3 linked regions of the Styela clava genome follow. The protein of the gene in region 1 interacts with the protein of each later gene in a biochemical or structural test. Links are inferred from orthologs where the notes say so. Each region holds a gene or a part of one and is shown in the gene's direction. Other genes may lie near its edges.

Region 1 (10,493 bases):
AATCCTACGCCATCCAAAAATTACGTCACTACGACATCACAATCACGTCATAGAGCTTGCCAAATATACGTACAGTCACCCGAAATGGCATTGGCGCCGACTATAAAGAACTGACTGACGTTATCGATCTCTCTCCTATTGGAATCGTTGCGACGAGAAAACGAGAGAAATAACTGTTCGATTTCGGGTGCTCGTTTACGCGTCTTGGATGGGCAACCCTAAAATGCGGGAAACGGGAAATGCACCAAAATGCGGGAACGACGGGAAATTGCCAAAACTAAAATGCAGGAACTACGGGAATAACGGGAACTACGGAAAATTTCACTAGAAAGCGGGAATTTCACAAGAAGCGGGAATGACGGGAAATCGCTTTAAGGTATAGGCCTCGAGCCTTGGCCATTTATCTTTCAGTTTCAGTCCTGTTTCTAGAAATAATATTGCCTTTGTTCAAATACCTAACCACGTAAACTGAAAAAAAGACTAATGCAGTGGCGGCGCGTCAATAGAGCCAACCGGGGCAATGCCCCGGTTGTTTTTTTGGTATAATAAAAAATATTCGAAAAATGATTCCGCGCGGCGGTATGGCTCAACGGGCTAAGCGTTAGGAATACGCTCGCCACCGCACCTCTAACTACTCTGCGTGGGTTCGCAGGTTCGAATCCCATGCAGGGATGGTTATGTGCGAGAGGATTGCTGGACTCCTCGCCGTCGTTGGGTGGTTCACGTAACCGCTGGTCGGTTACGGCTTCCTCCACCACCAAGTCCATGCTTCCGAAAACAAACAATACAGTAAATCTAATCCCATACCCGACTTGGAATGGTAACCGGACGAGAGGCCGTGGTTCGCCATATGGATAAGCCGTCTTATCGGCTTTCCTCTCCCCCGGGATAAATATGTAAATCCTATCCTATCCTAAAAATACCACAATATCGGTTGCACAGACTGTCTACACTAGCCATATTCTCCCGACATGGTTCATTTTTCGCTCGCAAAGCCTTCGCCGAACGTCGACGGGGCGACGCCGATTTTGCCCCGGTTGCTCATTGTATATCGTATTCTCTCTTTTATCTTCCACTCGCCGCGTTTGTCTCGTTTGTTTTCTGTTTCTTTTACTAAATCATCGGGGCTAGCCCCGAAATTATGACGACACAATGCCGACGTTTCTTACAACAACGTGTTGACATATTCACGCATTCCTTCTCGTTTGTTGGTTGCTTTAAGAGTTGATAGTTTCCTCGCCTTCGTTTTTGTCGCTTGTTTCGCTATTTGAATCAGTTAGAGACCTTTAGTCCATTTGCTTTCGATTTTCCACATTCCTTTTGAGCTCCTCATTTCTTTCCGGCTTCGCATTTCTTAGCCTCAGACCTCATAATGAATAAGGTTGATGCACTACTTCGCACTCCGTTTTCGCAGCTGCCGCTGGAACAAAAATTAGAGGTACAACGTCCTAGGCCTTATCAACCAAAAAATTGTTCACTGGAACAATCCCATGACGGAGGAACGCGTCGGCGTACATTCTGCGCAGAAACTTGGTATAAAAAACACGAATGGTTGTGTTACAGCGAGGACAAAAATGCACTTTTTTGTTTTTATTGCCTACTTTTTGCTACCGCCCGTGACTCACGTTGGTGTAAATTTGGTTTTAGAGATCTTAAACATCTTTCCGAGCGTGCCAGGGATCATCAATCTTCTATGGAGCATCTGGACAATGCAGTAAAATACCGAACATTCGGAAATGTTAATATTGCAGCACAGTTGGATGAAGGACGCGCGGTTTCTATTCGTCGGCACAACCAAAACGTCGAGAAAAACCGCCATGTTCTCCGTCGATTGATAGATGTTTTGAAGTTCATTTGTTGTCACGAGCTGTCCCTCCGTGGGCACGATGAACGGGCTGGCTCTTCTAATAGGGGTATTTTTGGATATGGTGGAAAACACCGCATCCCTAGATACAGTATTGAGAGATCATCTTGATGCCGCAACTGTTTCGAAAGGAACATCTGAGGATATCCAAAATGATTTGATCGACTCAATGTATAAAATTTATTTACAACATTTGGCTCTGGAAATTGAGAATTGCCAGTTCCTTTCGATTCAGTCTGACGAGACAACTGCTCAAACTTAAGACGGCGCGGCAGTCATGAGTGGGTCGAAACATGGTGTTCAAGTTTATATAAAAGAAGATTTTCCTCATGCGCATTTTTTACATTGTTATGCACACCAATTTAACCTCGTTATTAAAAATATGTGTCTTGATACCCCTCTCGTCCGTATATTTTTTGCAAATGTTTCGGGTTTTTTTCATTTTTTTCCCGTTTCGCCGAAGCGCTCTGACCTCCTTCGCCAGATATGTAGCCGCCGTCTCCCAGCTTGTGCACCAACACGTTAGAACTTCCAATCACGCGTGGTGCAGGGCGTGTCCGAAATTAGGTCTGAGCTCATTGAGTGTTTCAATGGCATTCAGAGCTCTCCGGTTTGGGACGAACGCTCTGTGAGGGAGGCGGCAGGTCTAAAGCGTCTGCTAGAAGATGGTGAGTTTTCATTTTTTCTCCACAATATTCTATCACGTGGATGTATTATACGGCGCATTGCAGTCAAGGCTAATGGATGGAGCGTCTGTGCAGTCGTGTATTTCATCTCGTATCCGGGAAACAATAAAATACGACGACACCTGGAGTGCTTCTTTACGCCGCGGGCAAACAACGCAGCGTTTGATTTTGTCTGCAAAAGAATGCTGTGACAATGACGGGGAAGTTCTTATCGTTAGTCGTCGGTTCTCATGTATGTGTTGTAAACTTATGGTTATTGAATTTCCGGGAACCTCTAATATTCAATTTCGCATCAGGATTGGGGAACAAGCTGAAGTTCATTTTCAAACAAAACTGAAGAATTTATTTATTTACCAGATGTGCGCTACAAACTCATTTCTGGACGTTTTCAAGACTTCGTCTCACGGCCCATATCCGTGGTAAGGAGCTACAAGTGTTTAATAACTTACTTATACATTTTTCAACAACGTCTCAGCATAACTTAACTAACAAGAGAGCTATTTTCAAATATATGGACACGTAGCGCTACCCAGTGGGAATAATTTTGATGACGATGAAAAAAAAGTAAGAGCCTTCTGGAGAAAATTATTGTCTTCAACCACTGAAAATTTCAAAACCATTGGTCCAGTATTCGAAGAGAAAAGCGATTTCTTCAAAACGTGTCAAAGAACAAGGACACAAAGAACAACAACAAAATAATATTGGAACGATCGCTATGTCCACTACGTGTCCAATAAAAACTAAACAGCGCTATGGAAAGGCTGCCCAACCCAACGCAAGGTCGAGCAGTAATAACTAATATTCACCCGCTCGCTAACAGCTGATTCGATTCGATTGTTACGTCATGCAGAAGTCATTGTTCATTGCCGAAAATGTAGAGAATATAGGACAGATCGTAGCACATATTTCTTGTAGTGAAAGCGTCTTTTCCGTAAAACGTGCAATTTTTGGAAGTGGGAACAAGGCAATATTTGTTACTAAATTTTTAAGGAACATTTTAAAATCATTTCCAGGTAGTTATACCTGATGTGCGCTACGAAACTTACTTTCTAGGCGTTTTTCAGGGCCTCGGCTCGCGGCCTAAATTGTGAAACCTTTGGAACTCCGCATTTGATGAAGCGCATTTCAGGGACAATTTCGCCATTCTGAGCACATTGATGACGACCACTCAAATATGACGCCATGATATGAGGATGAGTGAACTCCCTTCAATACCGTAGTGGCGTATATAAATTCGATCGATACTCGGGGAAGTCCAAATGTTATGTAGCTGAGCAATAGGCTATTGTTACACACTAAATATTGTATTTCATATGATTTTAATAATAGACACTCCAAGAGACTTAAAAAAGCCAAACGGAAATTCAGACGCCAAACGTGTTTGAAAAAAGCCAAAAATGCGGTTAAAAAAGCCAATATGGCAACCCTGCTACCGGCGGACTATTTTGATTAGAAGATTCCAAATTCCATTTATATTAGAGTAGACAATTCACGCACAAGAAAGTGAACACATCCTGTGATCGCAAAATGACCTATTTAGGCAATGTAACTGCGTTGAAAGCCTGAACGGAGAATTTTATTTTAAAAGGAGAGGATGCAAACGAAGTTGCGTTATGATCAGTTTTTATCCTTGTGCCATGGCCCCAATTGAGCTGCTTCGTGGCCCCTTTGAGGGCCTTCGGCCCCCGGTTGAGAACCACTGTTCTACAGCTTTTATAAACAAAGCGATGCAAGAAATAATGAACAATTAGCGTCATTTTCAGCTTCAAAAAGTAGAAGGACAGATGAGTTCAAAAAAGATTTTCATTTTAAACAAATGGCAGTTGATAAAACTAGGCAGAAGCATGAACCTCCCTTCTCTCTCTCAATTTTCAGGCATTTAATTTTTTGCCTCATTTCAGTATCAACCTTTTCCGTCGTTTCGGACTTTTGTGCACTGCTGATATTATATTACACCATAGGCTAGAGGTGAGCAAATTACGGCCCGCGGGCCGGAACCGGCCTACTGGAGTGTTTCATCCGGACCACTTGTGCCTGCTGAAATTATGAATATTGTTTTTATGGATATAAATTTCCGTTTAAAATATCGATGAAATAACGGATCGTCGGCTAAAGTAAATAACGTAAGTCCTCACGGATCATCAGTACTGAATATAATGTACAAAACCATCGATCCAAATTATTTATGTCATTCAGAAACTCTAGCTCCCGATATATCAGCATTTGGGCCTGCAAATTTTTTCGTGTTTTCCTAAATGCCGCGAAACGCATAACACAATGGGCAAAAAATCCATAGGGGAGGGAGGAGCGATTGCGCATACTCGGTGAGCAAAATAAATTTAAAATCGGTCATTGTTTTCTTCAGCATGACGTGGGTATTTAAAACGTGAAAATCGGCAAACTATATTCCGGTGAATTACATCTCGCAAGTATTCCGCACGACCTGTTGAGAATCTCTTTCTATCAACTTTCTCTGTGCAGCTGCCGTAATTTGCCAACCCCTTTAATGAAGTCCCATTAATTGATTTTGATCATATCGATATCATCATCGATCATATCGGCCCAGTAACCAAGTCTATTATCCGCATTCGGCCCACTCTGGAAAGTAATTGCCCACCCATGCCATAGGCCACTCCCTACCAAAGCGTATGCTCCCGACCAGACTTGATAGATAGATAGACTTGTTCCGCTTTTGCTGGCGACGTCACTTTGGACGACTGTTTCTTTGATTTCTTGGATTGGTAGGCTATATTTTCATCGAACAGGAATTTTACCCCCGTGTGAAAACAATGAAAAGTCAAATCTTTCAAATAAATAAATTACGCAGCCAACGGCAGAACTGTACAGGCAGACAGGTACGGTACAGTAACTTTCAATATCTCAGCGTATGCTTTGTAATCTAGTATTTTTTTTATCATGGTGCAGAGGCCATAAATATAGCTGAGTCTAACTACTGAATTAGACAAATTACTGAATTAAAACAATTTCTACTTAAGAAAGAAAGGAAAATAGAACTGTTTAAGTTGAGTTTCTGCGCATCCGGAGCGTCTTTAACCTTTATCAGTTTTATGGCAGTATGCTGGTATGGCTCAATACATAATACAGTACAGTAATAAGGTAAAAATTCAAGTGTAGCAGTCTCGATATTGAAATGTTAATAAACTGATTTAGAATATCAAACAAATAACATATTCTGTATTTTTTCAATCGTTATTAAACAAATACTGGAATATAAGCAACAAACAAGTAAAACATAAAAAATATTGACTATATCCAGATATCGGGCATTAGATTAACACATAATACAATGAAATACTGTTTTTATTCAAAATGACCAGGAGCGCCATATGTTTTATCGAAAGAATGATTTCTTTGCTATTTGAAAAGTGGGTTTCCTAATATGTTATTACATATACCTGTAGATACAAATACCAAAATGCTTTTATAATTTTTTACTATTGTTGACTGATATTTTGTACATTTGAAATCTAAATATTTGTGTTTACTCAAATAATGAAAACGGAAATGCATTGAAAACCATTCATTGCATAATTTACTGTGAAACTTATTGCTCGTTTTATTCTCTGACTCTTACTAATATGAATACCTAGTTAGAAATTCTATCTTCTGATCTTGGAATAAATTTTTATTTCAAATGTTATGGATGGATGTTTAACAGCTTATTGATTCAAGTTTTCGTGATAGAATATCATGATCAAACAAAGCAATTTTAGTTCTTAAAAACATTTCGTAAATAATATAAAAAAAATTGAAGGGTGGATTTTCAAATTTATTCTTCATGATATCATTGATTTCCAAATTCATTTAATGAACCAAGTCTAATTTCCTAACTAAAGAAATAAAATAGATGCTTCAAGCTCATTAAAATTGTTTTACAGTATTTAATAGCTCCTTTTGGTAATTATGGCTGACAAAATGGAAATTGATGACTCGTTATATAGCAGGCAACGCTATATGTTAGGTGATAATGCAATGAAGAGAATGGCATCAGCAAATGTACTTTTATTAGGATGTGATTGTCTTGGCGTAGAAGTTGCAAAAAATTTGGTTCTCACTGGAATAGGGAAATTGTATGTGGCCGATAGTTCACTTGTTACAAAACGGGATATCAGAAACAATTTTTATGTCAGTCAGTCGGATTTGCAAAATAAGAAAACGAGAGCAGAAGCTTGTGTGCCACGCCTTGCAGAACTTAATCCTTACGTCCAAGTCGAAGTTTCAACTTCGGATGTTCATATTGAAAATGCTGCATTGGGTGATGCTGATTCTCACAAAGAGTTTACAAAATTTCTCGAAAATATTGATTGCATAATCGCAACCCAACGTAGTCTGCCTCATCAAAAGTATCTCGATAAATTGAGTTGTAATTTGATGGGTCAGTTAAAATTTGTAAGTTGCAATGTTTATGGTGTATTTTCATCATTGTTCTGCAACTTTGGGAAAAATTTCGAGATTCTTGATTCGAGAGGAGAAACTTTGAAGGAAATGTTTGTGGGAGATATTACTAGAAACAGTGAAGGCACTGTAACGTGCTTAGAGGATCAGTTACATGGATTGGAAGATGGTGACAGTGTTTCTTTTTCTGAAGTTGAAGGAATGGTGGAACTAAATGGACAAACTCGAGAAGTACGGGTCGTGTCACCATATAAATTCACAATTGGGGATACAAGTGATTATTCACAGTACAAAGGTGGTGGTTTGGTAAAAGAAAAAACTAAAAAATCTACGATATCCCATCAATCTTTAGATGAACAACTCTTAAAGCCTGACATATTGTTGACGGATTTTGGGAAGATGGATAACCCTGCTATTTCCCATGCAGCTTTCTCAGCTCTTAACTCATTTGTAGAATCCAATGGTAATTTACCAAAGCTATGGAACAAAAATGATGCTGAAGCATTGTTTACATTATTCACCAATACAGTGAATCAGTTTCAAATTGATATTCCAAATGATGAAAATGCCAAGAAAGTTGTTCAATTACTTTCTTTTACTTGTAGAGGAGCATTATCGCCTCTCGCAACTGCGATTGGTGGTATTGCAGCACAAGAGGTTTTGAAGGCTTTAACTGGTAAATACACCCCATTAAAGCAATGGTTGTATTTAGATGCAACTGAGCTGGCTTTTAATCTTCATCTCACACCCGAACAAATGCAGGAATCAGATGATTTAAGTGATGTGAAAGCATGTTTGGGTGAAACAGTGGAAGCACGTTTAGCGAAGTTAAACATATTTATGGTTGGATGTGGAGCAATTGGCTGTGAAATGTTAAAAAACTTTGCTTTGTTGGGAGTTTCAACTGAAAATGGGAAAGCTGTGATTACAGACAATGACGTCATTGAAAAGTCAAACTTGAATCGTCAATTTCTATTTCATAGTCGCCATGTAGGACAATCCAAAAGCTCTGCAGCCTCTTTGTCAGTGAAGGAAATAAATCCTGACATAAAAATTGAGCCTTTGCAATACAAAGTTCAACCCGATTCAGAAAATGTATTTAATGATGCTTTTTTTGAAAGTCAGGATATCGTAGTCAACGCTTTGGATAATGTGGCAGCAAGAAGGTACATGGATACAAGATGTGTTGCAAATCAACGTCCTTTATTGGAATCTGGGACGATGGGACCGAAAGGTCATGTGCAAATCATAACCCCTTTTGTAACGGAAAGTTATGGATCACAGCAGGATCCAGCAGATGTTGAATTTCCTTTTTGTACGTTGAAATCATTCCCCTCAAACATTCAGCATACAATACAATGGGCGAGAGACAAATTTGAAGTCATGTTTAAACAAAAACCAATGACGTACAACAATTTTTGGGAAGGGTGTCAAGTACGTGAAAACGGAAACAAAGATAACATCATAGAATTGGTCAACAAGTATTTAATGTCAGGAAATAATTTAAGAGATGCCTCTGTCACCTTAAGACTTCTATCTGAAGCACCAACAACTTGGTTTGATTGTGTCGTTTATGCAAGACGAAAGTTTGAGAAGTTGTTTAATCACAAAGCAAAAGATTTATTAAAAGCCTTTCCATTGGATACTATGCTGCAGGATGGATCACCTTTCTGGTCATTACCTAAACGTCCACCTACCCCGATTATCTTCAATCTCGAAGACCCATTCCATATGCAGTTCGTCATTAGTACAGCATCATTAATTGCTGCTATATATCGTGTGCAACGTCCCATTAGTCAAGAAGAGATTGCCAAGAGCATTGCCGATGCTATTGAAAAAACAGTGGTGCCTGATTGGGTACCAAGTACAAAGGAAGTTGTAGTTGATGAAAAAGCCCCAGCACCAACTAAGACAGATGAAGATTCACCCGAAGATTTAAGTCAAAAGCTTATGCTTACTGCTAAAACACGTAGTGATTTCACTTTCAAGTTATACCCAGAAGATTTTGAAAAAGATGATGATTCGAACCACCATATTGATTTCATTTCTTCTGCTGCCAATCTAAGAGCTAAAATGTATGGCATTGAAAATGTGGATCGTCTTGAAATAAAGCGAATAGCAGGTCGAATCATACCTGCTATATCTACCACCACTACTGCCGTTTCAGGTTTTGCGACCATACAGTTTCTGCAATTGGTAATACAGCTCATTAATAATGAAAAAAATGGAACGAACTGGTCAAATTGTGCTTCAAATATTGAAACAGAATTGTCTAAATATCGTAATTGCTTTTTAAACCTTGCATTACCGCTTGTGTTATTCAGTGAACCAGCTGCTGCTCAAAAAACAAAATTAACTAAAGATCTCTCCTTCAGTGTTTGGGATCGATGGGAGATTCGTGGCAACAAGGATTTCAAACTAAAAGATTTCATACAGCATTTTCATGAGAAATATAATCTCACAATTTCAGCAGTTGTACATGGCTCAAGAATGATTTATATACCAATCATGCCTGGTCATTCAAAAAGATTGGATCACCTTATGACAAAGCTCATTAAAATTGGAGACAAAAATACACTGTATGTTGATCTGACGGCAACATTTGAAAATCCGAGTGATGATTCAGATGATTTGTCATGCCCACCGATTAGATACTATTTCTAATTTCCATTCTGTTGAGTGTTATTGCAATTTTTGTGTCCCACAATTCAAGCTATTCTATTCTGCACTATATATATATCGTATGATTTTCAAATGTTGTTTTTTAATAGTATAATTGTTTTAATATTATACTCGTCGATTAGTGTCATTGTTATATTATAGACTGTAAACACCAGTGATATTTAAAAGATTTAATTGACTTCTTTATAGTTTTTTCATACACACAGAAGTTTTGGTAATCCATGTAATTTTGCATAAAGAAAAATACTGATTTACAATATTTGATAATCGATATTAGTGACTTCAAAGAAGGATCAAAACCATGATTTTAAATTAGACTGCCGATTGCCTTTGGTGTATGTATTGGTGGTCAAAATTGATTTGCCTCATTTGAATATATACAAATTGGTCCAATATTTGTATGGTCAACTGTAGTGGTTTTTGAGAATGCAATATGAAAAAATTATCATTCCCAATAATACAAATGTTGATTGAATAACTCTTAGCTACTGAAAGATTGTGGATAAGTAGCCACCTTATTGTGAAATGAAACATATGCAAGTTCAAATAAACAGCCAAGCTCTATATGGATTTGGCTTGATGACATCACATCCTGGGATTAATGTGTGGTGAACTTTAGCAGATCCTATGATAAATCTGTTATTCATATAATTGTTCTTGCTGTCCAGTGTCTTCATTGCAGTTATTTGTGTTAATTTATACTTGCTGTCATGCAAATCGATCACTGTACTTGTGTTTATCATGGCTCGTATTAGATGTATTTGCATTTATCATCCATGTTTATAAGTCACGATTATAAAATTATTTTTTTGTATGCTTATATCAAGTTCAAGAATTTTTATTTC
Region 2 (10,370 bases), on another chromosome or scaffold:
TCCGAAGGCAAGAATGCGTCGTCAGGAAAAATATTTGGATCGAACGGGTACACTCCAGTTGCACGAAATCCAGCTGTAATGTTTATCATACTGAACGAACGGGTGAAGGCGGCGCCGGCGTATGCAGCAACTTCGTATATAGTGATCACTTTTTCTGGATGAATAGTTAACCAGGAATCACATTGAGATGCGTATTCTCTTTTAAAAGGACCAAATACGCTAACGTCCAGAGGTTGAAGCTTGTGGCTGCAGTGCGGTGGAAACGTGAGAATATGCAATCCATGACTGCGTGACATATCAATAACTTCCAGCGATATGTGGCTGGTATGATTATCCATTAGAAGAATTGCGGGATTCGACTTCGAAACTTTCATCAACCGAATGAAATGTGCGAGAACCTCTGGGAAAATTTCTGTTGTCATCCACCCTGACCGGCAAGCAAGACCAAGACTCCCAGGTGGGGCATCTCTAAGCATTCTGTCATGGGAATGGACGCGAGGAAAGACAAATGACGGTGGCAATGCGTTTCCTATGGCGTTCACGCATGCGCACATTGTGACAGTGACGCCGCGTTCCACTGATGTTATGCGTCCGACCTGTTTTTTTCCTTTTTCTGCGAGAACTTGCGTGGTTTTAACTACAGTGTTAATGCCTGTTTCGTCCAGATTCCAAATATTTTGTGGTAAAATCGGTCCTTGTTTCATGTACAATTCTTTTAAGTTATCGAAAAAATTTCCAACGTTGTGCTTGTTGAAAGCCATTGCTCTAGCCTTGCTTGTTGGCTCTGGCTGGCGAAGGCTCAAGTTCCCTGTTCTCTTCCGAAATCCTTTAAGCCAATCCTCACCTGCACAACCGTTCCTGCTCCAACTGCTAGGAATATTTTTTCCTTTCTTCAACGCATACGCATATGCCATTCGCTTAGCCTCAAATTTTGTTAAACCATGCAGCATTTTGGCTGATTGAATCAGATATTCTGCTAAAGCTTCCTCTTCATCTTTCGTAAAAACCTGAAATGAGTTCAAACAATTGTACTAAATCCTCTCATACATAAATACAACTCACATCCATCTTTCTACAAAATTTACACACCTGTTTTGTAACCATGGACCTTTTTAAAATATCTGTGCAACCTTGACGTCTTGCCACATCTACATATCTACCAAGAGTCGTATGGTAAAGGTTGTATTCTCTGGCAATTTTTCTCACACTGCCCTCATTGGCAATAACTTTTTTAACGGCTTCGCTTAGAACTTCTCTCGTGTACTTTCCTTTCAAACCTTTACTAATTTTAAAAGTGGGCATTTTGCAGTTATATTGCTGCTGAAAGATATAATTTGTTGGGGAGGACCAATGAGACAGCGTTTTATAGGTCCCGTCGCATGCTGTCTCACTGGTCCCAAACCCGCCATTTTTTTCTGTGGTAAAACTAACACAGCATTTGCTTACCAATACAACCGGAAAATGTAGGTAAAACATCGACCTCTAAAACCTATTTACTGTTACCCTCTCAGTCTTGTTGTAAGTATCTAAAAATATTGGTTGAACGCTTGCCCGGGATTTTTTTCGCTATCTAAAAACACATTTACCACCGTTACTCAAGAACGAAAAAGGCTACCGACACTACAACTGGAAAACGCGGCAGACGACTCAACCTCGATGCCATGGCGGAATTGAAATTAGAATTCGACCACTAGGTGTCGAGAAATGGCGTTGTTGCATCGGTCCCCTTGCATCGCAGGTCCCACATCTCCCCTACATTGCGACTCACTCATTTTCAGTTGCTAGCGAAATTCAGGGAATTTTTTTTTTTTTTTTGAATTTAGTGTGTGTATTCATTTTTGCACAACACATTTCCCCTCAGCTATCAGCCGCTTGCCGCCTTCTGCGATTGTCGTCCTCCCACTCACCACGATCTTCGCTTTGCCCAGCCTAGGCGGCCAACGCTACCGTTCGTAGTTTTTAGTCGTTATTTTGGTCGTTCTTTCTTTTTTCCATGTGTGCCTTTTCAATTTATTATGCATTAATCTATTATAACATGTATTTGTTAGAGGTTTTAACATTTATTTATATTTTATACAAATATGATTTCCGATTTTTTTGATGGGTGGGGGGGGGGGGGGGAGGGGGCGAACGAATTGAGGCATCTATAGGGTATTATGCATTCCTACTTACGAATTATTTTGATCACGAAACTACTTCCAGGACGAACCAATTTGTAAGTGGAGTTTCTACTACTTTGATTCCCTACGAATCCATCGAGATTTTCTCTAATGTCATCAAACTTCAAGTCAGGTAGGTGTATATATTTACGCTTTAACTAGATTTTAATACATTCAGACGGAAATTCAGGAAAGTAAATCCAATAGAGAGAGTAAGTCAAAGGAGAAATGTTTAAATAAAAAATATGAATGGACTCGAGAGAGAAATGAGCAGCGCCTTACGCACAGTCGGGATTGCTCGCAACGAGACGTTTCAGCTACCAACCTCTATCCGGCTCGGCGGAATGACGCATCGTGCTAAGCGTTAGGAATACGCTCGCCACCGCATCTCTGATTAGGCTACCCTTCCGGAGATCGCAGGTTCGAATTCCATGCGGGGATGATCATGCGCGAGAGGATTGCTGGACTCCTCGCCGCCGTAGGGTGGTTCACGTAACCGCTGGTCGTTTACGGCTTCCTCCACCATCAAGTTCATGCTTCCGAAAACAAATAACTGGCTAACTAATCCCATACCGGACCTGGACTGGTAACCGGACGAGAGGCCGTGGTTTGCCATATGATTAAGCCGTCTTATCGGCTTTCCTCTGCCACGGGATAAATATGTAAATCCTATCCTAAATTCATCAAAAAAAAAAATCTAGTGATGCCATAATCCGCATTTAAAGTGCTACCTGACAACATGTTGTTATGTCATTATGGTTATGCAATATCTCTAGTCCGTGACTCATCCCAAATTGCGCACTGAGCCCCATTCGAACTGTTTCCTACCCCTCTTCTGTCAGTGTCACCAATGACATTAAACAACATGATAGGCAACTCTGACGTCACTCCATAAGACTACAGGCAAAACATTGTATTTCATGATACGCTCCAATGCACATATTTCTCGTCGCCTTTCGCGTCCGTTTTCCGCTCGCTTTTGCTACTCGGCGTCTTTTTTACGTGTAGTACCTGCCTTTTTGCGCCTGTAACGAAACAAAATAATCTCTATATCTAAGAAGTTTTGCTTACTTGGAAAGCTGGAATAACAGGCAAGCTGTAAAGAGCAATTCTGGACATCATAGACTTTTTTTTTTTATCAGAGAAGATTACAAACGCGATAGCGGAAAGATTTGTGTGGAACATTTTGCAGATAATGACAAAGTTCAAAGTTAGTAATTTTAATGTTTGCGCTTAATCATTGAAATTTCATTTAAAGAGGGTGTCATACAAAACTGTGCTGCGATACAATTCCATAACACAAAGTTTGCACCTATCGAACTTGCTTTTGTAGGTGAATTTATTAGACATATTACATATTCAGTTAATCGTAGGTAACATTGCTGGTACATAATGCATCTTAGATAGGTTTGTTTAAATTTAGGAATTTAGCTCATAGCCCACTAATTAATATTATCTTCTATGCAGGAGGTTGCAGGGCTGAATTCAACTTGCAGCCTTACCGATCACCTGACGATGCTCATTTAGTTTGGCTCGAGCAAGTCTTCTTGAAATGCTTGTGTGAATGGAAACTACCTATATTTTTTGCCTTCCTCCGATTTTAGACAAATTTATTCTGAGGGATTTCGCATATAATTCTCACTGATTGTTGGCTGTTTATAATTCCTATTGATTGTGAATTCTGATTATAACAATGAGTTGAAAATTTTTTTACCTAATTTACTGGCACCTTTTTCTTGTCAATACTCCAAGCTGAGGTAATAAACATGACAATACATTTATGTCATCTGGAAGCAAAATATGCACACAAATTAATAGTTTGGCACATTGAGATAATACATCATGACAGAAAATACAAGTTAAAGATATGTATGACCATCACATGGTAATTAAAATTAAAAAAAATTAATAGGGGCTGTGGAGTATGGAAAGTTCAAGACAAAGAAAAGAACAAATGTTCATAGAACATAGCTCATATATTGTGATGCAACTAAACAGTTGGATTAAGTTTTATTATTTTCTTCAATTTCAAATGCAATTACATATTAATATTTGCATTCCACTATTATTGCAACATTTGCAAGTTACAGTATTTATTATAAAAAATTGTAAAATTCTATGTACAACCATCAAAATCATTTTTGAACAAGCTTTGAATAAGTAAAGAATAATACATACACTAAAAATAACTTAATCTAAATATATGAACCTAAAATTAACAAAAATACTACAGTATAAACTCAATGTTTTAATAATTACATTCGTCCTGGCGTTTGGCATCTTTTTTGTGTCACCAGCATACTAAGGCCAGTCTGAAATGATTTTATAGTACCAACTCTAACTAACGAGGCCACATGATCATGGGTTTATCTGGTTCTTTACGAATGTTTAATTAATTCCAGTAATGCAAAAAAGTTACTTTTATCATTTCATGTATAGATCAGTAAAAAAACAAATGACAGATTTTTTCGACAAGACATTTCGCACTACCTTGCGTGGCATAGGATTGCTTGAATTATTATTGATATTGATTTTTAGTAACTAAGTCGTTGTATAATTATATTAATATACAAACACATGGAAATTTTCTGTTCGAAGTTGGTCTTCGAATTTGTCATATTGACTGCTGAGCTTATTGTGTTTTTTGATTGTATTGATGGAAATATGACAAATTAAACAATGTGCTTCAGAATTTTGTGAAGAGCAGAAATGTTACAACTCCCATTTTCTTCGAAAATGCCACCTTCTTCGTGTACTTTGCGTTTAATTTAATTACTCAAGTGTTTTATTCAAGTATTCTTTTGCTAGCTTGATGTGTATTCTTAATTGGGTCAAAATGTGGACAAAAAAAATTAATATTCCAAAACTACTTTCAGTAAATTGTTTTCTGTGTGAATAATCAATTTCACTTTAGAAGGTTTGAAAAATCTATTACATTTAGATAAAAAAAAAACTTCCAAAATACTATTACAATTATTGTTAAGCGTTCGAGGGCCGCACTGGAAGTTCTCTGGGGCCGCGAGTTTGAGATCCCTGGTCTAGATTGAAGTTGTTCAAAAAATATATGATAGTATTTTATCATGAATGATGATTATACCCCTTCCGGAATTTCTTCTATAGTACTACCAAAAGTTGATGAACCAAATATAACACAGGTGCAGTGAGGTACCCGTAATCCTCATTTCCAAAGCTGTTTTAAGTATGTCTGGCGTGTTTTGTGCCTTTTTACAAATAAGACCGCTTATGCAATCTTACGCTTTGGAATTTTTAGTTATTTTCCTCAAGCCCTGCAGGATGTGGGGGCCATACACAACTCTACCGGAGGGTCAAATGTCTTTGGATGCCTCCATAGGTTGTTTTTCTATTGCAATTTTCAATTGCATTATATTTCTTGGAATCACACTGTCACTGATATGTCGCCAGACTTCTGATATCTCCCCGTCTGCTATAGTTGTCCTGTGAATAAATAATAGGAAATTGAGATTAGACGAATAGTTGAAAGTTTTGCTTTATGTCGGCTTAATTTCTTGATTGATATACTTACTATTTCTGCTATTGCCTCTTGTGCTGCAAGAGTCTCACAATGCTTAGACAGGTTTGTCCACAACTTTCACATCTGAAGAAAGAGAGGAGATTTATTAATTTTTGTTAAGAATAAATAAAGCAGTCTATATGATTCAGAATGGAAAAGCTAATAAATCCAATATCTCATGTTTTATTTAAAAAATATTTTACTGAATTTTGGAAAATAAACCAACTAATAAAAGGGTTTAGTCAGAAAATTACAAGCATTCGTGGCTCCAAATACTTGAGAAATCAGACTATACAATATAGACCGGTATGAGTGAAATGTTAGGTGAACTTGTTAACACTTTGATTCAATACGCAAATAAAAGTGAATGCGTAATAGTATGTTACAATGAGCAGCAATCAACAATGAGTATATATCCTCACTGATTAAAAAAATCTAACTGGAGGTGCATGAACTATTTGAAACCATAAGGAGTAAGTAAATATGTAATTTCGGCAAATGGGCAACTACGTACCGTACTGAATTAATAACTTCGTAGTATTTGACAAAGGCTGGCTTTCCCACATGTACTTAACAGTGCGATGCCCGGGTGTGATATACAACAATAGTATTCACCTTACCTTTTACCGATTTCTTTTTACCTTACTTTCAAAAATATCATTAAAATCGACAACAACTGTCAAAGCAGGCACGAACACCATTCGTGCTACGCCTTGAAAGCAGCACACATCCGCTCGTTTTCGTCTCGACAAGTATGTGCATTGGAGCGTGCTATCGAATACGATCTTCGGACAAAAATGCCGGAGTTGCGCATCATGTTGTTATATGTCATTGGTGTCACTGAGGTGTCACATTTTAGGCACCGCGTCGTATAGCTTCCCGTCAAATTTATACAGTGCCTGCACCTCCACTCCGTCACTTCAGTACCGATACTGGTACGCGTGCTACGCCTTTATTTCTTGATCTACAGATCTATCGATTGCAGTTTCAGTGAGTTGGGATAGGATACTCGTAGACTACTCAAGTTTTAATTATTTAGTGTTCTGAACAAGATATTTTTTCGAAGATAAGGGTCACACTAAAATTTCAAGATGGCAGCAAAACGACTTATGGCTGAATACAAACGTAAGTTTTGAAGTAACTCCAATCTCATATTTAGTACCGGTAGCGGTACGGTACCGGTACCATATCGGTACTGGTACGTTATTGCACAAATACGGTACTGTATGTACTGCCGCATATGCTTCTCAACCTGAGTACATGGCTTGGAGAGGCGTCAACTTTGCATTATTATAGTAATATCATCCCAGTTTCCATTAAGTTAGATGTTAAATCACTGTACCTATAGTGACAAAATTGGTGAAATTCAATAGATGAATATTGAATGATTTTTTATTTTGAACTGCATTGCGGTGCCAGTAAATACGTACGGCCATACCGGTACCCGGAACCGGTCCATTTGTTGAAATTGTGCAGATTCTGACATTACAGCATTATACGACAAAAAAAACCGATATCCCGATCCATGTTTGTGCATAGACTGTTACAGTGTTATGAAACATGCAATCTATTTACAGAGCTAATTTTTTTTCAGTAACAATTTTTTGTCACTGTGTTATTTTTGCAATGGAATTGAACTACAGCATCACCATTTTACGTCAACGAGTGTTGTATATTCCATATTTTTGTAGGAAAAGCACTGTTGTGATACACATACCATAGCCTTGCATTCCATCCTATCAAAGTGTATTTATCAAAGTGTATTTATTAATTGGGACCCACCGAGTGTTTATGTTATGTTTGAAACCCGAACGATACCCATTCGTGTCTTATCATTTTTATTTTGCATATATGTTTGTGTGTTGAATGTGAGTAAACTGGCGCATGTATATTTACATGTATTGAACCTTTATAAAGGTTTTGCCAGTTTCCCCGATTTTCCCGATCTTCTGTGTGTTCATTGTTTGTGTTTTGTGTATGATTTTTTTTGGCGGGGAAATCAAAATATACTTACTTATACATTCTTGCTTTGAAATATATTTGAAAGTTTATACTTTCATGTATGCATATATACATTTTTAGAGTTGGCGACACAAGCACCGGAAGGAATTGTTGCTGGGCCAAAGGAAGAAAGCAACTATTTTGAATGGGATGCTTGTATAATGTACGTATACATTTTTATATTCAGTCTGTTCAGTACTTTGGTTAGCGTATAAAATACTATGCTTCAAAATACTTTTATTCTTGTAGCAGGAACATCCCAACTAAGAGAAAGTTATTGAAACTTTAACCCATAGTTTTAAAACATAGGTTCAGCTTAAGTATTTCTCGAAGTCAAAGTATGTTTTTTTATGAACATACAGAAACTAATATACTCAAAATTACTCTTGTTATTTATTCTTAGATTTTCTGATAACTTAATTCTCTAAATTGGTTGAATATCTCATTAGAAATCTCCATTTATGCCATGATCTCAAATCATACATCATGTGAAAACAAATACATTCTATATAAATTGAAAATTTCGACTTCACTAAATCACTTGATATGAATTTATCTTAGATTCCTAAATGGACAAACCAAAATGAAAGTTGTATATATTTATTGCCAATTTGAATTTGACTGAACTTGTAATCCCAATTTAAATGTTCAAAAAATTGTATTCAGTCCAACAATTTTTTGTTTAGCCAACTTCGCCATAAATAGAAATGCAACATAACTTTCTGTATTTATTCTTTGAGCCCTTCATTTTTGGTTTTTGACTGATTTTGCCATGTTTGGAAGCGACTGCCCATATCTCCGGAAGACTTCTTCTTAGAGTACACTTCTTGAAAAAGCGCAACATGGCATAATCGGTCTGACAATTTTCCTAATGCAGAACAATGCAATGAAACCAACTCATTGCTAACACTTCAGCTACGAGTTAAAATAATACCACCAGAGTATGACTAAGCTTTATTTTTTTTATAGGGGACCAATAGGCACACCATTCGAAGGTGGAGTTTTTTCAGCTGTGATGACTTTTCCATCAGATTATCCTCTTAGTCCTCCTACAATGCGATTTACATGTGATATGTTTCATCCAAACAGTAAGATTTTGATATATCAGTTTAATAATCATTAAGTGCAATTTATATATATTTAATTCACTTTCTCAATTTAGACATCCAGATTACCTTATTATGAATAACATAACACTATGAATTTTACAGCAAGGCTACACATGCAAATGTTATATAGCAGAGAATGGTTGGTATTCTATTGATCATAAAACTTAGTTACCTCTGGATCTGGTAATTGTGTAGTGGTGTAGTCCTTTTGCATCTATACATATTTTGGTCCTTTGAAAATTATTTTGTATGATGAAATCAATTTTTTGTGTGATAGAACTAGGGCTGTGAGCTTGATTCGGAGCCTGTAGCTTGGGGCTTTGACATTTTGGTCGGGCTGGAGCCAAGCTAACATGTTAGATGGAGCTGGAGCTACCAGAAATGGATTTAGTGGATACCAGCTCCTAACGATCTAATTATTTTGAACGTTCATAATTTTCTGATACAAATAATAAAAACTATCCTTTTCAGCTCTTGAATTGTTATAAATTTCAACGTACAATATTGATTTGAGAGTTTCAAGTTGTCAATTTATATATTTAACACTTTGATTTTGAAACCCGTATATCATAGTTTTGAGTCCAGCTTCCACGAAACTGCATTGTGGCAAATATTTCATGATAGTGGTCACACTGGTTAAAAACCTCATTAGGTATGGAGTCGAAGCCCGGCTGAGATTATAAAAACAAAACTGCAGAGCGGAGCAACTGTGATTTTATTCCAGCTATCCAGCCGTGTACAAAACTAGAAGTTTTTTTAAATCACGTCATAATTTGTTTGTTAATAATTGGAAGCTGAAATATCTTCTTAATCTTTTCAATTCCAACAGTATATCCAGATGGAAGAGTTTGCATTTCAATATTGCACGCCCCTGGTGACGACCCGATGGGATATGAATCAAGTGCTGAAAGATGGTCGCCTGTTCAAAGTGTTGAAAAAATTTTGCTCTCTGTAATAAGCATGCTTGCTGGTGAGTTGTTCAAATCAATTTTTCAAAACACTATCTCCATGTAAACTATCCTATTCACATACACAGATTTCTAATCAGAACTCTATCGGGGATAAAATGGAGCCCTAAGTTTTAAACATGCTTGTTTGTTGTTTTTCTCATTGGTATTTCAGCTTATATGGAATTATTTACCTGCATTTTCTGTGAACTGCACAAAATCTTGTATACCTTAGCTTAAAAAATTATTAAAGAGAGGCGCAATTTTATACTAAACTTATTCCAATGGTTCTGTAGCGCTAATAAAAACTTGCATTCGTTTCATAACATTCTACCACGTATTTCTTAAAATTGTCAAGTGGTAAATGCTCGGTTTTAAATATATCTTATTGGCACACAGAACCCAATCCTGAATCTGGCGCAAATGTTGATGCTTCGAAAATGTGGAGAGATAATAGAGAATTATTCAATAAAAAAGCGAAGAACCTTGTAAGGAAATCTTTGGGTCTTTAATTAAAAAACCTATCATTTGTACAATATTGATCTTTGAACATTGTCAATACTTATTCATGGATCATGATGAATTGTGGATATAACAAAGATGTACAGAAGAATTCAGTTCC
Region 3 (10,533 bases), on another chromosome or scaffold:
ATAGGCCGCGAGCCGAGGTATAAAAACGCCTAGAAAGTGAGTTTCGTAGCTAACATCAGGTAACTACCTGAAAATGATTTTAAAATGTTCCTTAGAAATTTAGTAACAAATATTGCCTTGTTCCCACTTCCAAAAGTTGCACGTTTTACGGAAAAGACGCTTTTACTACAAGAAATATGTGCTACGATCTGTCCTATATTCTCTACATTTTCGGCAATGAACAATGACTTCTGCATGACGTAACAATTGAATCGAATCAGCTGGTAGCGAGCGAATAAATATTAGTTATTACTGCTCGACCTTGCGTTGAGTTGGGCAGCCTTTCCATAGCCCTGTGCTGTTATTATTAGTTAAGTTATGCTAAGACGTTGTTGAAAAATGTATAAGTAAGTTATTAAACACTTGTAGATCCTTACCACGGATATGGGCCGTGAGACGAAGCCTTGAAAACGCCCAGAAAATAAGTTTCGTAGCGCGCACTTGGTAACTAAATAAATTCTTCAGTTTTGTGTGAAAATGAACATACTGGACGCATTACAGCTTGTTCCACAATCCTGATGCGAAATTGAATATAAGAGGTTCCCGGAAATTCAAAAACCATAAGTTTACAACACATACATAAGAAGTATGCAATTCGAGAGCCCTACAGCACACTAACACAAATGTATTCCTGTAATGTTTTGCCTGACCAAAATCGGACTTCCTCAGTCAATCATAATTTATTAGGTAGATTACGAAAAATATGGCATACATGTAACCAATGACATTAAACAACATGATGCGCAACTCCGGCATTTTTGGCCGAAGATCGTATTCGATAGCACGCTCCAATGCACATACTTGACGAGACGAAAACGAGCGGATGTGTGTTGCTTTCAAGGCATAGCACGAATGGTGTTCGAGCCTGCTTCGACAATTGTTGTGGTTTTTAATGATATGTGGAAAATTGAAGGTAAAAATAAATCGGAAAAAAGTAAGGTAAATACTATTGTTGTATAACACACCCGGGCATCGCACTGTTAAGTACATGCGGGAAAGCCAGCTTTTGTCAAATACTACGAAGTTTTAATTCAGTACGGTACTTAGTTGGCCATCTGCCGAAATTGCATATTTACTTACCCCTTATGGTTTCAAATAGTTCATGCACCTCCATTTAGATTTTTTTAATCAGTGAGGATATATACTTATTGCTGTAACATACTATTGCTCATTCACTTTTATTTGCGTATTGAATCAACGGGTTAACAAGTTCACCTAAAATTTCACTCATACCGGTCTATATTGTATAGTCTGATCTCTCAAGTATTTGGAGCCACGAATGCTTATAATTTTCTGACTAAACCCCTTTATTAGTTGGTTTATATACCAAATTCAGTAAAACATTTTTTACAAAAAACATAAGATATTGGATTTATTAGCTTTTCCATTCTGAATCATATAGACTGCTTTATTTATTCTTAACGAAAATTAATACATCTCCTCTCCTACAGATGTGAAAGCTGTGGACAGACCTGTCTAAGCATTGTGAGACTCCTGCAGCACAAGAGGCAATAGCAATAATAGTGAGTATATCAATCAAGAAATTAGGCCGACATAAAACAAAACTTTCAACTATTCGTCTAACCTCAATTTCCTATTATTTATTCACGGGACAACTGTAGCTGAAGGGGAGATATCAGAAGTCTGGCGACATATCAGTGACAGTTTGATTCCAAGAAATATGATTAGAATACTCCATAAATGTTTGCAATAGAAGAACAACCTATGGAGGAATGCAAAGACATTTGACCCGCCGGTAAAGTTGTGTATGGCCCCTACATCCTGCAGGGCTTGAGGGAAATAACTAAAAATTCCAAAGCGTAAGATTGCATAAGCGGTCTTTTTTGTAAAAAGGCACAAAATATGCCAGACATACTTAAAACAGCTTTGAAAAATGAGGATTACGGTTCACTGTCTACACCTGTGTTATATTTGATTCATCAAATTTTGGTAGTACTATAGAATAAATTCAGAAAAGGGTATAATCATGATTCATGATAAAATAATGTTATATATTTTGGACAACTTCAATCTAGACCAGGGATGTCAAACTCGCGGCCCCAGAGAACTTCCAGTGCGGCCCTCGAACGCTTAACAATAATTGTAATAGTATTTTGGAATTTTTTTTATTTAAATGTGAAAGATTTTCCAAACCTTTTAAAGTGAAATTGAATATTCACACAGAAAACAATTTACTGAAAGTAGTTTTAGAAAGTTAATTTTTTTTTGTTCACATTTTGACTCAATTAAGAATACACATCAAGCTAGCAAAAGAATACTGAATAAAACACTTGAGTGATTAAATTAAAGTACACGAAGAAGGTGGCATTTTCGAAGAAAATTTTCTGCATTTCACAAAATTCTGAAGCACATTGTTTAATTTGTCATATTTCCATCAGTACAATGAAAAACACAATAAGCTCAGCACTCAGCAGTCAATATGACAAATTCGAAGACCAACTCCGAACAGAAAATTTCCATGTGTTTGTATATTAATATAAGTATACAACGACTTAGTTACTAAAAATCAATATCAATAATAATTCAAGCAATCCTATGCCATGCAATGTAGCGTGAAATGTCTTGTCGAAAAAATCTGTCATTTGTTTTTTTACTGATCTATACATGAAATGATAAAAGTAACTTTTTTGCATTACTGGAATTAATTAAACTTTTGCAAAGATACAGATTAACCCATGATCATGTGACCTCGTTAATTAGAGTTGGTACTATAAAATCATTTCAGCCTGGCCTTAGTATGCTGGTGACACAAAGAAGATGCCAAACGTCAGGACAAATGTAATTAAAAAAACATTGAGTTTATACTGTAGTATTTTTGTTAATTTTAGGTTCATATATTTAGATTAAGTCATTTTTAGTGTATATATTATTCTTTCCTTAACCAAGGCTTGTTCAAAAATGATTTTGATGGTTGTACATGGAATTTTATGATTTTTTGTAATAAATACAGTAACTTGCAATAATAGTGGAATGCAAATTATAATATGTAATTGCATTTGAAATTAAAGAAAATAATAAAACTTAATCCAACTGATTAGTTGCATCACAATATATGTCACAAACTAAAACTATCTGAAAAATATCTCTCGAGTATACATTATCAAAAACTGTTTGCGGTCCTTTTTACAATTTCCAACATGCAATGCGGCTCTCGAAACCCATGTGTTTGACACCACTGATCTATTCTAGACGATTCAAGCATTGCTTTGGGAAATAATATCACTTCAATTAAATTGAAAAAAAATCTCGCTATATTAAATACAAAACCGTTGCTATCATAAAGGTAAACCAATTCAGCCACTCGGAATATATTGGCCTTCACAAAGCAATGGAGGCAGAATTGAGAGTTCATGAGCTATGAACTTTTGTTCTTTTCTTTGTCTTGAACTTTTCATACTCCACAGCCTCTATTAATTTTTTTTAATTTTAATTACCATGTGATGGTCATACATACTGTATCTTTGTATTTTCTGTCATGATGTATTATCTCAATGTGTCAAACTTTTAATTAGTGTGTACATTTTGCTTGCAGATGACATGAATGTATTGTCTTGCTTATTACCTCAGCTTGGAGTATTGACAAAGAAAAAAGTGCCCGTAAATTACGTAAAAAATGTTTAACTCTTTGATATAATCAGAATTCACATTTAATAGGAATTATAAACAGCCAACAATCAATGAGAATTATATGCAAAATTCCTCAGATTGAATTTGTCTTCTAAAATCGGAGGAAGGCAAAACATATAGGTAGTTTCCATTCACACAAGTCTTTCAAGAAGACTTGCTCGAGACAAACTAAATGAGCATCGTCAGGTGATTGGTAAGGCTGCAAGTTGAATCAGCCCTGCAATCTCCTGCATAGAAGATAATATTAATTAGCGGGCTATGAGCTAAATTCCTAAATTTAGACACAAACCTATCTACGAGGCATTGTGTACCAGTAATGTTACCTACGATTAATTGAATATGTAATATGTCTAATAAATTCACCTACTAAAACAAGTTCGATAGGTGCAAACTTTGTGTTATGGAATTGTATCACAGCACCTTTAAGAGAAGTAAAAACAGTTTTGCTGTTTTGTATGACACCCTCTTTAAATGAAATTTCAATGTTCAAGCGCAAACATTAAAATTACTAACTTTGAACTTTGTCATTATCTGCAAAATGTTTTACACAAATCTTTACGCTATCGCGTTTGTAATATTCTCTGATAAAAAAAACGTCTATGATGTTCAGAATTACTCTTTACAGCTTGTCTGCCATTCCAGCTTTCCGAATGAGCAAAACTTCTCAGATATAGAGATTATTTTCTTTCGTTACAGGCGCAAAAAGGCAGGTACTACACGTAAAAAAGACGCCGAGTAGCAAAAGCAAGCGGAAAACCGTCGCGAAAGGCGACGAGAAATATGTGCATTGGAGCGTATCATGAAATACAATCTTTCGCATGTAGTCTTATGGAGTGACGTCAGAGTTGCCTATCATGTTGTTTAATGTCATTGATGTAACCAACAACAAAAAAGACTTTAATTGTGTGACAGGAGTCGCGAGTGACCTCGAAAGCAACGACACCAACAACGCTGATTCACATTAGCGAATAAATTTTATGTAATAACCGCAAGCAGTTTACAACAAGAACAGCATAAAAAGCTACATCCATTTTATAGAAGCTATCAAACGTATTTATTTTTAGGGAATGAAGTCACAAATTAACATCGTGAGCACGAAAACACAAATAAATCAGTTATTTCTCACCTAGAAATTTACCGGAAAAGTCAAGAAAATTAAATGAATGTACATAACATGGTGAACAGAAATATTACAATTAGTCTTTTTTTAGTTTATGTGGTTATGTATTTGAACAAAGGCAATATTATTTCTAGAAACAGGACTACGACACTAACAAATGTCCAAAATAAATGATACTCATTAAATCAACTGCAATATCTAATTCACTTTCTTCTGAATTGTTTTCGAAATCCACTATCTCGAAAATCGACTTTTCCTCTATAAGTGTACTGTGATTTTTGCAGTCAATACAAAAACAAAAATCTGTGCAATTTAAGTTGATTTTGGCACACTTGCATAAATTATTTTGACTATTTTTCTTACACTTGCAGTTTGCCAACTCAAGAACTGATTTGAGGGCCACATGCTTCTTCAGTAAATCATTGTTGGGTGGAGAGTATAATCCTTATGTTTGCCAGTGTTAAATAGACGTGCTCTGGTATCATTTACATTCTCCATATCCTCTTCATACAGTGAACAAACAAATTCCTCAGCTTTATTTAATAATGCCTCGTTAACCTCATAAGACCTGCATAGTTGAGAAAAAAATGAATTGAAAACCTCAATGAAGTCTCCAACATGAGATTGATGGGCAATTCCAATTGCAGAAAAGTGCTAAAGTATTTCAATATGAATAGCCCATCTAAGCTGTTTGCAACTATTATGATTCTCATATACCTTTACGCTTCAAGACTTCTTGTTTAATCCATTTTATAGCACTGATAGCAGCCGGGATTAGAGCCTGCGTTAGGTCGGATTGGTGGAACATTGCCGTTTTCTTTTGTAGTACAGTATCTAAAATGAGGGAGGAAATCATATTTGGAACAGCATGAGTGTAAAAATACCACTAAATACTAACTAATACCTTGAATACATAATGCATTTTATCCGATGTCTCCAATGAGCGTATATATGCTCATTGCATGTAGCCTACTACAGTCCAGCAGTGTTTGAATACCATTACTAGACTATATCTACACTCAATTTTGATATATCACTGCTGAAATGCCCTATGACAGTAAGAGTATGGCCTATAGACTATATTTTGAAACATCAACTGTCTGTCTACAACTTGATTTCTCACCTCTCAATCGTTTCCAATGCTACTTTTTTTCCACTTGCTTCCCAGGTTCTTGTCGCCTCTATGAATTTAGATTTAGACCAACCGACATTAGTAAAATTGATTATTTTCTTCTTTTTCACACAACCGTGCATTACAGAAACAGCCATTAATTTTTATTTCCAAATATGCTGTGGCCTATATAGTAGTATAAGTCTGCTGAATAGTCAAGAAGAGTCATTAAATTAATCATAAACATTTCATGCAAGCCAGAAAATATCGTTGTTTGTGACATATTATTCTAGGTCTAGCCTTCATTGGAGTTACCGCACCGTACCTATTTAACAACGACTACCGACACCGTAACTATTTAACTCAACTAAAATTGCTATTTATGGTAAGGATATACAAGTGTTTGATATCTTACTTATACTTTTCAACACCTCCTTAGAATAACTGAACTAATAATAACTGAAAAAAACTATGGAAAGGCTACTCAACGCAAAAGCGAGCAGTAGTAGTACATCTGATATTCATTCGACCACTGGGGAACATTTTAAAATCATTTTCAGGTAGTTACCTTATGTGCGCTACGAAACTGAAAGATAAATGGCCTCGGCTCGCGGCCTATCACTTTTGATCCATTAAATTGCTGTATTATAACTCTTTTTTGAGACTTACTGTGAATCTGATTTTCATATCAGGTATTTTATGTATTTATTGCGTTATTTTTGTTTTGCTTATGTTTATTTGTTGTGTTGTTTTTATATGGACCACAGAGGGTGGACTTCCGGAGTTATAAACGAATTGAATTGAATGCCATGCATGTACATTAGTCACGTGACTGCCCTGTTTGTAAATGTAAACAAATTTATCGCGGCATGTCATCTTGGTTTGACCCCAAGCATTTCGCTGTTCTTCCTGTGTAGGTGATTGGGATTGTTCCTGAGCAATAGAGGTTGGTTACTTTTTCGTGAATTTGGAGGCTGATTTCGCTTGAGAAATCTAGCGTTTGGCACTGATACCGTACCGTATTTTGCGGTAAAGAAGAAGATTTTTCTTCACAAAACTTGAAATATGCAGAAGGCAGCGAGATTAAAAAGGGAATTGGAGATGTTGCAACAAAGTCCACCACCAGGAGTTTCGTGCAATCAGGATGAAACAAATAAAGATCTGTTGCATGCTCGTGAGTGAAGTCTAATCTCATATTTTAATATAATTTTTTATTTTACTTCAACCCAGTCTATTTATAAGTAAGTACAGAAGGGGTCTCATGTAGTTTCGTACCTAACGTACTTCTAGTGGGCGTAGCATAACAATTTTTTGATATGTCAATCCTAACCCCCATCTAATTACGCCGTCCAAAAATTAAATCACTACGACATCACAATCACGTCATAGAGCTTGCCAAATATGCGCACGATCGACCGAAATGGCATTGGCGCCGATGACAAAGAACTGACTGACGTTGTCGGTCTCTCTCCTATTGGAATCGTTGCGACCAGAAAACGAGAGAAATAACTGTTCGATTTCGGGTGCTCGTTTGCGCGTCTTGGATGGCAGTTCGTGTAGTTTGAAGGGCTCTATTACGTCACTGTGACGTCGTAATGACGTAATTTTTAGATGATGTAGTCAGGTGGGGGTTAGGATTGATACGTGAAAAAATTGTCATGCTACGCCCACTAGAAGTATGTTAGGTAAGAAACTACATGAGACCCGTACAGAAGTAGTCTATTAAACTTATACCGGTACTCGCAGTACATTTACCATTTTACTGCGAACAATTTTAATCAAGGTTTTGTTTGTTAAGCCTAATATCAAGAAGCCAGTAAACTGGGTAATGACAAAGCCATGCTTTCAGACATTCTGGCACAAGTACTGTGCAGTTAGCTATTCCCATACCACACTTCATCTGAATGAGCCACCGTCTGATTATAGTCTCCTCGAATTGACAATATAGATATCTTACTGTATCATTTTGTGTACACAACCTTACGCTTTTCATTAAGCTCTGCGTTTACGAGGATGAATATAAACTTTTTTTTTCTCTCTCATCATCTCTATGATTAAAAAAAACATGCATCTCTAGCTAGAATGGTAACTTATTTGTTAATCTAGACCAGGGGTTCTCAACCTTTTTTCGCTCAAGTACCCCTTGAGTCACGAAACAATCAACGCGAACCCCAGCAATCGGAACCGAACAAAGTTGTGATATACTGATATATTGTCTAACAATTTGTTGTAACACCAATTTATTGACCAGATGTAACTAAATTAAATCGTCTAGTTGATATTTTTGCCCTTATCGTCTGCCTAGCTAATGAATTCTTAAAATCTCTCTTTAAGTTTCAATAGGCATAATCACTTCTCCAATGCTCGCAGCACGCTGTCTTTAAAGATTTCACAGTTTGTACGCAAAGCCTTGAATTTCACATTGTTGCGTCACAATCACAACAACGCAAGGTCAGGGAAAATCTACGGTACGTTTCGATTGGCGTCTAGTTTCAATGGGCACGCATTTTCCAATGGTAGTAATAAAGGATATTAAAAAACAGCAACATACAAAAACTCGACTGTCATCCAAGTACCCCTGAAAATCTTCTCGTGAACCCCAGGTTGAGAACCCCTGATCTAGACTATATCAAATAACACACCATATCAAGTAGAAATATTGTTGTAACATGATCAAATTTGATTGAGATATTTTATATTCAGAAATCATTGGGAGTGAAGGGACGCCTTACTATGGTGGATTATTTCAATTACAAGTCACTGTCACCGATCGTTATCCATTCGAACCTCCAAAAGTAATTTTTCAAACTCCGATATATCATCCGAACATTGATAATGGAGGACGAATATGCCTTGACTCACTGAAAATGCCACCACAGGTAATATATGCAGAGGATGCTCATCCAACTTTTTAGTACAGAAATAAGCAATGCCACATTGTGTATAACCTATTTTGTAAGGTGTTTTTGAAAGGCAGGAAATTTGGATGGAAAGGTTTAAAATTTATGGTTTCAGTTTTAAAAATGGGTAGGCTACTATATATACTGAAAAATGTTGCATTGCCTTATGATTGTTGGAATTGTGAATATTTTTAACTTGTGCTTAACTTAATTCCTCTACATTTTAACAAATAAACAATATATTCTGTTTTCCCATATACACAAGTCATGAAGAGAGGCAATCAATATATCACAACCATATTTTTTTTTCGATATCAGAAGTAATATAGTTATTTCTAATTATTATATGGTCACCCTTTTTGCTTCATTTCACCCTTCTCTATCTAATTGATTAGCTTTTAATAATTTGTCAAGTCTCGCGCCCTACTCAAATATAACTAGCTAACAATGAGCTATAAATAACAAATAGTAAGGCGAAAGTATGTTTTATTCAAAATATACGTTGAAATATGTGTATGGAATCGCAATCTTCAAACAATAAAGAAATGTAAATATCCAAATCTAACAAATTTTTTATTTTTAATAAGTTTCATAAGCTAATAAGCTTGTGGTGCGCGCCCCATCATTCTAGTACCACTGTTCTAAATTGATATATTCTACTAGTTGATGTAACACAATATTTAAATGGCAAATTGGTAATTTCACAGGGATGTAGTAAGTTCAATTTTCTTTTTCTCAACTTGTAATTTAATTTCAGGGTGCATGGAAGCCATCACTCAACATCTCATCTCTTCTAATAACGATACAATTATTGATGGCAGAACCAAATCCTGATGATCCTCTGATGACAGACATAGTAAGTTTAATGTAAAAAGATTTTGAATTAGGTTCAGTATTGTTAATTCTTACTAAGAAACTATATTTAAAAATTTATGTATATTATATACAAATCACCGTGCTGAAATATAAATTGAAGTGTAATGCATTGGATAATTTTTGATTGAATATGATGATGGCAAGCAGAATAAAAAATTTGAAAGTGAAATTTTAGAAATGGTTATATTGAAATGACATCAGATTCAACTATTCAATCATATTTTAACAATCAATTTGCTTGAAAGAGGAAATATGACAAGATGGCTTGATCATATGCCATACCAAGGCCTCTGTGGCCTTTGCCTATGTCAGTGATTGTCAACCGTTTACTTCTTGTTGATAAATTTCACATGCAAGGATTGTACCGAGTCAGGGATTAAATGAGACATACTGACTGATGATACAATGTTTTACTTTTTTCTCCTGATTATTGTTAGACATAATCACGGGTTGCATTCACTTTGGAGATTAAATTTGTACCATAATGCCTAATCTATGGCGATTGCGTATGTCAGTAAAATTTAGGGGTGACGTAGCTCAATAACTAATATTGGTTTCCCGCAGTTCCTCTAACCCTAAAACTGTTTTTTCATAATTCATTGTAATGTGTATATCTAGTGTGCTTTCAGTATGGCGAAAAAATAAACTACGGTACTGATTACAGTAGTTTTACTCTATTGGGGTAAATTCCACAGTACAGGGTTCAAACTTGGGCAGTGGTAGATAAATTTTTTTTTTCAGTGATAAAACTGTTTTTAACTTATAAAAATGTGTTATGTATTTGACTATTCATCTGCATCAGCATATAACCCACTTTCTGAATATTCAGATACAATATT

The links. The genes of interacting proteins can lie anywhere in the genome.
Region 2: the proteins of ubiquitin-like modifier-activating enzyme 6 (region 1) and ubiquitin-conjugating enzyme E2 G2-like form a complex in vitro, tested with the Homo sapiens proteins (2 studies listed by BioGRID, with this or other methods). The link is inferred for Styela clava from reciprocal best matches to the Homo sapiens genes UBA6 and UBE2G2.
Region 3: the proteins of ubiquitin-like modifier-activating enzyme 6 (region 1) and ubiquitin-conjugating enzyme E2 T-like form a complex in vitro, tested with the Homo sapiens proteins (2 studies listed by BioGRID, with this or other methods). The link is inferred for Styela clava from reciprocal best matches to the Homo sapiens genes UBA6 and UBE2T.

Annotation. Positions count from the first base shown.
Region 1 is NC_135254.1:14,428,640-14,439,132, reverse strand, and holds the start of ubiquitin-like modifier-activating enzyme 6, read left to right. Parts: upstream 1-6,424; 5' UTR 6,425-6,474; coding exon 6,475-9,630; 3' UTR 9,631-10,493. UniProt on the Homo sapiens protein: Activates ubiquitin by first adenylating its C-terminal glycine residue with ATP, and thereafter linking this residue to the side chain of a cysteine residue in E1, yielding a ubiquitin-E1 thioester and free AMP.
Region 2 is NC_135261.1:20,876,346-20,886,715, forward strand, and holds the start of ubiquitin-conjugating enzyme E2 G2-like, read left to right. Parts: upstream 1-6,558; 5' UTR 6,559-6,782; coding exon 6,783-6,816; intron 6,817-7,773; coding exon 7,774-7,855; intron 7,856-8,661; coding exon 8,662-8,780; intron 8,781-9,630; coding exon 9,631-9,771; intron 9,772-10,147; coding exon 10,148-10,260; 3' UTR 10,261-10,370. UniProt on the Homo sapiens protein: Accepts ubiquitin from the E1 complex and catalyzes its covalent attachment to other proteins. In vitro catalyzes 'Lys-48'-linked polyubiquitination. Involved in endoplasmic reticulum-associated degradation (ERAD).
Region 3 is NC_135256.1:5,895,330-5,905,862, forward strand, and holds the start of ubiquitin-conjugating enzyme E2 T-like, read left to right. Parts: upstream 1-6,721; 5' UTR 6,722-6,983; coding exon 6,984-7,092; intron 7,093-8,621; coding exon 8,622-8,797; intron 8,798-9,575; coding exon 9,576-9,674; intron 9,675-10,533. UniProt on the Homo sapiens protein: Accepts ubiquitin from the E1 complex and catalyzes its covalent attachment to other proteins. Catalyzes monoubiquitination. Involved in mitomycin-C (MMC)-induced DNA repair.